Macaca fascicularis: one gene and its partner. The protein of the gene in region 2 purifies or fractionates together with the protein of the main gene of each other region. This does not show direct contact. Links are inferred from orthologs where the notes say so. Each region holds a gene or a part of one and is shown on either strand. Other genes may lie near its edges.

The links.
Region 1: the proteins of S100A4 (region 2) and liprin-beta-1 purify together in Homo sapiens (co-immunoprecipitation; 3 studies listed by BioGRID and IntAct, with this or other methods). This does not show direct contact. The link is inferred for Macaca fascicularis from reciprocal best matches to the Homo sapiens genes S100A4 and PPFIBP1.

What each region holds. Positions count from the first base shown.
Region 1 is NC_088385.1:30,431,243-30,435,050, reverse strand, and holds part of liprin-beta-1, read right to left. Parts: intron 3,318-3,808; coding exon 3,195-3,317; intron 2,380-3,194; coding exon 2,254-2,379; intron 1,666-2,253; coding exon 1,477-1,665; intron 1-1,476. UniProt on the Homo sapiens protein: May regulate the disassembly of focal adhesions. Did not bind receptor-like tyrosine phosphatases type 2A.
Region 2 is NC_088375.1:107,615,932-107,620,336, reverse strand, and holds S100A4 (protein S100-A4), read right to left. Parts: upstream 2,777-4,405; 5' UTR 2,726-2,776; intron 1,742-2,725; 5' UTR 1,727-1,741; coding exon 1,586-1,726; intron 854-1,585; coding exon 689-853; 3' UTR 555-688; downstream 1-554. UniProt on the Homo sapiens protein: Calcium-binding protein that plays a role in various cellular processes including motility, angiogenesis, cell differentiation, apoptosis, and autophagy.

The DNA of each region.
Region 1 (3,808 bases), on a different chromosome or scaffold from region 2:
CAAGTTATGGACTCTCTGCACTGCCAATACATGGATTGTGGAAGCCAATATGATGCGTTATCATTTTTTTTAGAGACAGAATCTTGCTCTGTTGCCCAGACTGGAGTGCAGTGGCATGCTCATAGCTCAATCATAGCTCATTGCAGCCTTGAACTACTGGACTCACATGATCCTCCTGCCTTGGCTTCCCAATGCACTGGGATTACAGGCATGAGCCACCATGCCCACCTAAGAGGGAGCACTCAAAAAGGGACATGAACCTTGGACCCTCGGATTAAAAGTCTGATGCTCTACTGCCTGAGCTATCTGGGTACCTTCCCTTAATTATTATACTTTTAAAAGATATATACTCAGTTGTCCCTCAGTGAACATTAGTTCCAAGATCCCCATGTATACCAAAATCCGTACATACTCAAGTCCAGCGTACCCGTGTACCTAAAAAGTCGAGCCTCCCTAGATGTGGGTTTTGCATCCCTCCACATTTGCTTGAAAAAAAAAAAAATCTGAGTAGGAGTGGACCTGTGCAATTCAAACTCATGTTCTTCAAGGGTCAACTGTTTCTTCAATTTGTTAGAGTAGGCAGATAGCCAGACATGAGGGGAAGCCCCTGAGAAAAGAGAGGTCCGGAAAAATCTCACACCCCAGAAACCACCCAAAACATGCATGCTCCCTATGAGCAGCGAGGAGGAGGAGGAGAAATACCTGTGGAGAAAGGAACATCCCTTAAGATGCTCAATAATCACTCACTCTGCAGTTCACCTGCCAGAATTTAGCTAGCTGCATGCCGATAAAGAAGGCAAGAGGGCAAAGGAGAATGCCTAAGAGAAATGCAGGCACAGTACGTATAGATTTGACTGTTATACAACCTTCCTGGGGGCGGCGGGAATGAGCAATGCAGCCTTTAGGTAGAATTGCAGCCAACATCCAGCCCACGCATGTGCACCAACTATAGTAAGGGAGGGTCCCACAAACCTAGGATGGGAACTAGGCAGGGAAAAGGCAAGGACTTAAGGCAGGAGCAGGAAAACGAGATAAAAAAGGCAGGGACTTAACACAGAGGCGAGAGCTTCAAGAAAAAACTGGACATCATACAAACCCGACGCACAACTCCTGGCCTCTTTTCTCTTTCAGCAGCCCGCTGTGCCTCGGGTTTTGGAGTGTACTGTCCCTTTACATAAACACTGCTACTGCGACCCTGTTGTTTTCCCTGCAGGATCAGCCCCTGTATTTTTTTTTTTTTCTTACAATAAGCTCTTTGCTCCCTATTTCCCTTCAATAAAGCTCTCTGCTATCTGTGAACTGTCTCTCGGCCAACATCTTTCTCCCAAGACAACTAAGCGCTGAGGATTCCTGCATCTGCTGGTAAGGAACTCATCCACAAAACTTGGCAAACCCCAGAAAACAGAATAAACAGGTAACAGACAAAATGTTGCCTTTGCGCCAAGCAATTATTAAACTGTATGAGCCTGAACCAACCTTCACTTTGGCAGTAGCTGTTAGAAGTACATAATCCGGCAGCTCCATGGCATCTCGCTTCTGGTGCTGTGCCTCAGCCCCAATCAGAAGGTTGAAATGAGTGGCCAAATGTCTTCGCAGCAAAGTCTTATTGGGTGGGATGTTCAATAACTGAGCCATTGTTTCTACATTAAAACGAGGCTCTAGAACCTGTTAAAAAAAAATAAGCTTGTCAAAAGTCACCACAAATCATACATGTTTGTATTGTGCTTTATAATTTGCAAAGCTCTTTCTCTTAGGTTATCTCCAATGATCCTCTCAACAGCCTGGTGAGGTAGACACCATATGGACTTTGATCTTTAATTTACATATCTTTTCTCCATTTTGCCCAAGCTAGTGAGTGATAGAGCTGGTCCTGAAATCCAGGATTCTGGCATCCCAATATCAGTCCTCTACCTCTCTGGGGTGCTGTCCGTGGCAGCCAACTCCTTATGCAATATCAATGTGCAGAAATACAATCTGCATCCTTGCAGGGGTTTTCAAACATGATCATATGAGAGGAAGAAGCTACATGTTATTTGACATGAAAGAGGACAATAAAAGAGAACCGGCTTTAAATTCAATCCAGAGTTATAAGATATCAATACAAATACTCTGAAAGTAAAGATTTACTAGAAATAGGGCAGGAGGGTTGCGTCAGATGACTTTAGGATTATGATAAGCAAAAATTGATACTATCCTACTCACTAGACTAAAGGAAACAAAGTAAGTCAGTTTGAAATTAAATCAGAGCTTTACCATGAGCCCACCATGGACACCGCTGCCTCTGAGATTGGGGGCATATTCTGCCAAGTCCACGGAGCGCAGCCACTCCATCACTCGATGGTTAGTCCACTTCTGAACTTCTGAGGGGGCGATGGTATTCTGTGGGAACACACAACCAAGATCCTAAGTATTAAATTGCATTTTCTGTCTAAAAAGTCTGCTCCATGGGGTACAGTTACTCAACATCCCACTAAATGCATAAAGAAAGGGAAAAATTCTCTTTTAAAGAATTTCTGTCATAGTTTGTGTTTCAAGTTTTCTTATATACTAATAAAGCATTGGTTTAGGAAAGGACTTTTTTTGTTTCTTTGTTTTGTTTTTGTTTTTTTAAGACAGGGTCTAACTCTCTTACCCAGGCTGGAGTTGTAGCGGTGTAATCAGGGCTCACTGCAGCCTCCATCTCCCAGGCTTGGGCAGATCCTCCGACCTTAGCCTCCTGAGTAGCTGGGACCACCAGCGTGCACCCACCATGCCTGGCTAATTTTTTATTACTATTATTTTTGTAGAGACAGGGTCTACCTATATTGCCCAGGCTGGTCTTGATCTACTGGGCTCAAGTGATCCATATGACTTGGCCTCCCAAAGTGCTGGGATTATAGGCATGAGCCACTACATTTGGCCAGAAAAGGAAGTCTTTATAGTGATATTTATCTCTGCGGATTAGGGAATCAGGAAAAAAAATACACCCAAGAAAAGGAAGAAGCATAACTGAAAATGAACCCTTAGCTTTAGTTATACAAGTGGAACCATCATGGAGAGAAAAGGAAGGAACACAGAAAAAGCCTAAGAAGTAAATGAGGCTGAATTTTAAGACTTTTCCTGCAAGCTCCAAGAAAAATGGCTCTTAGTTTTGACATATGGACAGTCCCATGCCTGGAAGTGCATGCTTATAAACCTCAATCTTAAAACGCTACCTCATCAGATGGCCGCCTCCGTAGACAGTTTGGTTCAAAGTTATTGATCCTTAGGACCTGGATGGCCCTTTTGATACTGAGGTGGTGTAGCACACTCACAACCTTCAAAGACAGTAAATCATCCTGCGAAAAAGAACAAAAGGAGGAGTTCACTGTGCTGGCCTGTAGCAGGGGGACGTTCTTGGGAATCTCAGAAAACTGGAGTAAACGAAGAGCCCCTCAAACCAATATGCCCCAAGGGCTTGTCAGAACCCACTTTCCCATTTGGAACAAAATCTTCCCCAAAACCCCAAATTAGTATTTTTTGCCAATGAAGCTGCCTTCCACCTGTTTCTCTCTCTTCCTGATGCTCTGAGATAGGATTGTAGAACCCCAGGGCTCTGAAAACCACAGTTTGACAAGCACTTGCTGGGTCACTACAAAAGGTGATCTGCATTGACTTGATCTGCACATACTACAAACAGAGAATTTATTTCTTTCCTCTTTAGTTTTGAGAACTTTATCTGTGGATAAAGCACTTAGGCATTGGCTAAACTGCCCTCTCTATTTCCTTTCAGCAGACAGCGAAGAGTAAATGATGCTTATTGGCGGACATGATCAAGGCTTGGCTTTCT
Region 2 (4,405 bases):
ATCCTACCACAGACAGGAAAGGACTAATCCATCCCTGTGGTTTGAAGCCAGGGATCTGGAAGGGGGTGGCAGGATAGAGCCTGGACTGTAAATGTCAGCACTAAGTGCCAGCCCTCCTCCCCATCCCACTGTCACCTAAGTACTTCCTCCCTGCAGCTCAGTCTTATTCTTTTCCCTCTGACTTCCTCCCAGGACACCCAAACTCCATTCCAGACCCCAGCCAGGAACAGATGTGACCTTCAATTCCAGCCTCGGTTCAAGATCCTGTCAGAGGCAAGGTTGGAGAGAGGTGGGAGGGGTAAGTGGGCTGGCTGAGATCCCACAGCTGGAGCTTTCCAAACCTTGACAAGGGGGTGGTTATGGGGTCCCCTTCTCAGCTTTGACCTCACTGAGTGAACTTTATTGCCTGTGCATACACTCATAGTCATCCTGCATCCCTCCCCTGACTTCACTGGTTTGCTCTCCATAAAACTTCAGCTCTCCCCACCACCACCCCACAACATCTCTCTCAGCCCCCAACCCATGCCCCCAGAGTCTCTCAAACCATCAGCCTCAAAACTTCCAAGAATCTTTATTGAACTTGCTCAGCATCAAGCACGTGTCTGAAGGATCCAGGGTGGGGCACTGTGCCCACTGGCGACAGGGAAGGCCCCAGCTGGCAGAACCCCCAACCACATCAGAGAAGCTTTCATTTCTTCCTGGGCTGCTTATCTGGGAAGCCTTCAAAGAATTCATTACACATCATGGCGATGCAGGACAGGAAGACACAGTACTCTTGGAAGTCCACCTCGTTGTCCCTGTTGCTGTCCAAGTTGCTCATCAGCTTCTGGAATGCAGCTTCATCTGTCCTTTTCTGGAGGGAGAAGAGGCTACAGATAGAAAACAGAAGCCCAGTAGGGAGAGCCAGGACCAGACCCAGTTTCTACTGCCAGACCAGAGTTCAGGGAGGCTCCTTTGGGAGGTCCAGTTTGGAACTCCAACCCTCAAGGCTAAGCTAGGATGGAGAAGGTACTCCTTGGATAAGGAAGTCTGAGTACCTGGTGCAATGGAAAAATGACGGAACCACTACATTTTCACCCAAGGTTGCTCTAATAATCCCATGAGGTAGTAATAGTCATGAAAGCAATATGTAAACTGTATTATGTTTGATACAAATATACATTGTTAGTGTTTGAGGGGAATGTCTGCAGGCCTGTGATCATCTCCACATCTGTGTCTTCACATCTACAAGCCAAACAGAAACTCAAACAGTGTCCACTGTTGGCGTGATGGCAAGAGTCAGACAGTCCTGGTCCAGATGGCAGTTGTGTACGCTGACCACCTTGGGAAGTTACTTAGCACTCTGAGCTTAGTCTTCCCTTCAGTTAAGTTGTGCAAAGCATCTGGCAGTGTCTGACACATTCATTCTCAGCCCTCTTTCAGCATATGGGGCCAGTCAGTGAGCGGTGGTGTTCAATGTGTTTCCACCCCAGGCAGTCACCCCACTGATAGATGCCCTCTGTAGCTAATGCTCTAGATCAAGACTGCTGCCCTCCTCTGTGGGAAATGCCCCACGTGGGGACACACTCAAGCACTACCCACTCACCCCCAAGAAGCTGGGCAGCTCCCGGGTCAGCAACTCCTTTAGCTCTGATTTGTTGAGCTTGAACTTGTCACCCTCTTTGCCCGAGTACTTGTGGAAGGTGGACACCATCACATCCAGGGCCTTCTCCAGAGGGCACGCCATGACAGCAGTCAGGATCTGGGAGCAGGAGGCACAGAGACCCTCTTATTTACCCCACCCCTCAGAGATGTGTTCAGAATGCCAGGCTCCCCTCCCATCCCTCCAGGATCACTTGGCGAGACTCTGCTCCCTCCCTGGGGGAGCCCAGAGCAGTGGGCCCAGCACCTGGCGGGGAGGGTGTGCACAGTGGGGAACACATGCTCTGGGCAGTGAACATTTGCAGAACCCACTGCGCAGGCTCTGGAGATTCAGGCAGCAAGCTCCCAGGGCCTCCCAGGCCTCGCCTCAACAACAGCATTTTTTCCATCCCTCGCTCAGTCTATCCACTCCCACGGCTCAGCCACAAAGGCCCCGCCCTGGCCATTCTTCTCCCTCCCAGCACTGGGTGCGGCTGCTGGAGGCCTGCCCAGGGGCCTGCAGCGGAAAAAACCAGCTGCTTAGTGCTCAGCGTAGGGAGGGGCAAAGTGAGATGGCAGAGGCAAGGGTTGGAAGAGAAGGTGCAGAGGCCACGCTCCTTCTTGAGCTGGGCTGCTGCGTGCAGGGCAGAGGCTCATGGGGCACACCACCAGACGAACGCCCACAGTTGCCTTCTGCCTTTCCTTTGCTTCCTGCTCCCGAGTGCGCAACCCAGCAAACATGAGCCAGTGCAGATACCCATGGGCACATACATACCAACACATACTATAGCAACAGCATGTGCAAGCCCACATCTCGGAAGCACCTGGAGAGCTCAAATCTAGCCACTTGCTCGCTTTTCTGTTGGTTTTTTCCTCCCTCTTACGTGCACGTGTGTGTGCACATGCACACCCACACACATGCACACCCACACACATGCACACCCACACACATGCACACCCACGCACACACTCTACCCAGAGTTCCACATCAGAGTCTCACATCTGGATCTCTTTAGCACATCTAGCCCCCACCAGCTTCCCCTTCTCCTGCCCCAGCCCTGGCCTCTGACACTCCTTGCATGCCAATCAGGCCAACACAACTCACCAAACCAAGAGAGAAGCGCTGAGGAGAGAGGGTTGTAGAGAGGGGAAGAATGGGGACGGCCCAGCGGTCTGACCTATTTATACCCCAGCCAGGCCCTGCCCATAGCAGGGGACAGGGGAGAGTGGATACTGCCTTCCTGCTGTGGGCTGATGTGTTAAGTGCCACAGCACCCTCCACCAGCCCAGCCTTGCAACCAAGCCTCTTGTTTGGGTAACGGGTAAGCCCCAGCAGTTACCAGCAGGGACCTGGATGCAATAGGCACCACCCAGTGTACATAGCTCAGCCTGAGTTTTAGAGAGGTGGAGGAAGGGGTAGTCTGTGTCTGGAGCATGGGGGACAGGGAGGGAGTAGTTCCATCAGGGAGCTAGGAAAGAAGATGCAGGGGGTGGTGGGTGACAGATGGGAGATTGCCCTGGAAATGTGGTGACACAAAAGCTAGGGAGGGGGATGGGAGGATCGCCTGAGGCCAGGAGTTCAAGACCAGCCTAGGCAACATAGTGAGACCTCTGTCTCTATAAAAAGGAAAAACAAAATTTGTTTTTAATTAGACGGGCAGCGTGGCTGTAGCCTGTAGTCCCAGCTAGTCAGGAAGCTGAAACAGGAGGATCGTTTGAGCCCAGGAGTTCGAGACTGCAGTTGGCTATGCTCAAGCCACTGCTCTCCAGCCTGGGCAACACAGCAGACCTTGTCTCTTAAAAAAATAAAGACTCAAAAACAAAAATGGGGCAGGGATCTCCATGCCCAGTACTGTCTGCCATGCCAAGTAAGGCTCAGGGCCAGGGCTGGGGGATCTGGAGGGGAACAGGTTCACACCCAAATGAGGCTCTGGGACCCCTTCAGGAACGTCAGTGGGAAAGGTCCTGGGTGAGGTGGTGATGGAGTATGGAGTGGCAGTGACACGTGGGGGCTCACGGATAGATCTCAGGTTCGGAGAGGGTATCAGGAGGGGCCATTTCAAGTTGGGATGAGTGTCAGGAATGAAGAATCCAGGTTGGGGTGGAGAGTTAGAGGTGAAATGGCACGAAATAGGGGAGTTAGAATTCGAGCCAACCTCTCAGGGTGGGCTACAAACTCAGTGAGAGTTAGAAGTAGGGGGTTAAGGCCCTCAGGGGACTGCGGCTTCAGGGATAGGGGCTGCCTCAAGTTATCCCCTTCCCCCTCCACACAGGGCACAACTTCCTGGCTGGGAGTAAACACCTCAGACACCCTAATCCCATTAGTGCTGCTTTCTGGGCTCCCACAGCCCGGGGCAGGGAACAAACACCCCCACTGTGCCCACGGCCCCACCCTCCTCAGGTCATCCAACCGTGAGCACTGAGTCCCAGGGGAAACTCAGGTGGTCCTCTCTCAAAGACCCCAGAGAGAGAGAGAGAGAGGAAGGGAGGACAGGGGTCCCTGTGTTGGCCCCACGCCCTCCTGCTGGACCCTGGAGGCCACTGCATTTCTGCAGGGTCTGCAACTTCCCTGGGGGAGCCCCCTGCCCCTGCCCCTGCCCCTGCCCTCAGCTGCCTTCCTGCAGTAGAAAAGGCCAGAAAGTAGCAAAGAGCTCAGCAGACACGTCCTCAGAGAAGAATCAAACAAAACCAAGCTGATGCCAGTTTTTTATTAGGAGTTAAATAGGCCCTTTCCCATCGTGGTCTCATTGGTGCACGCTCTGCTGAGCCTCGAGGGCCTCACAGC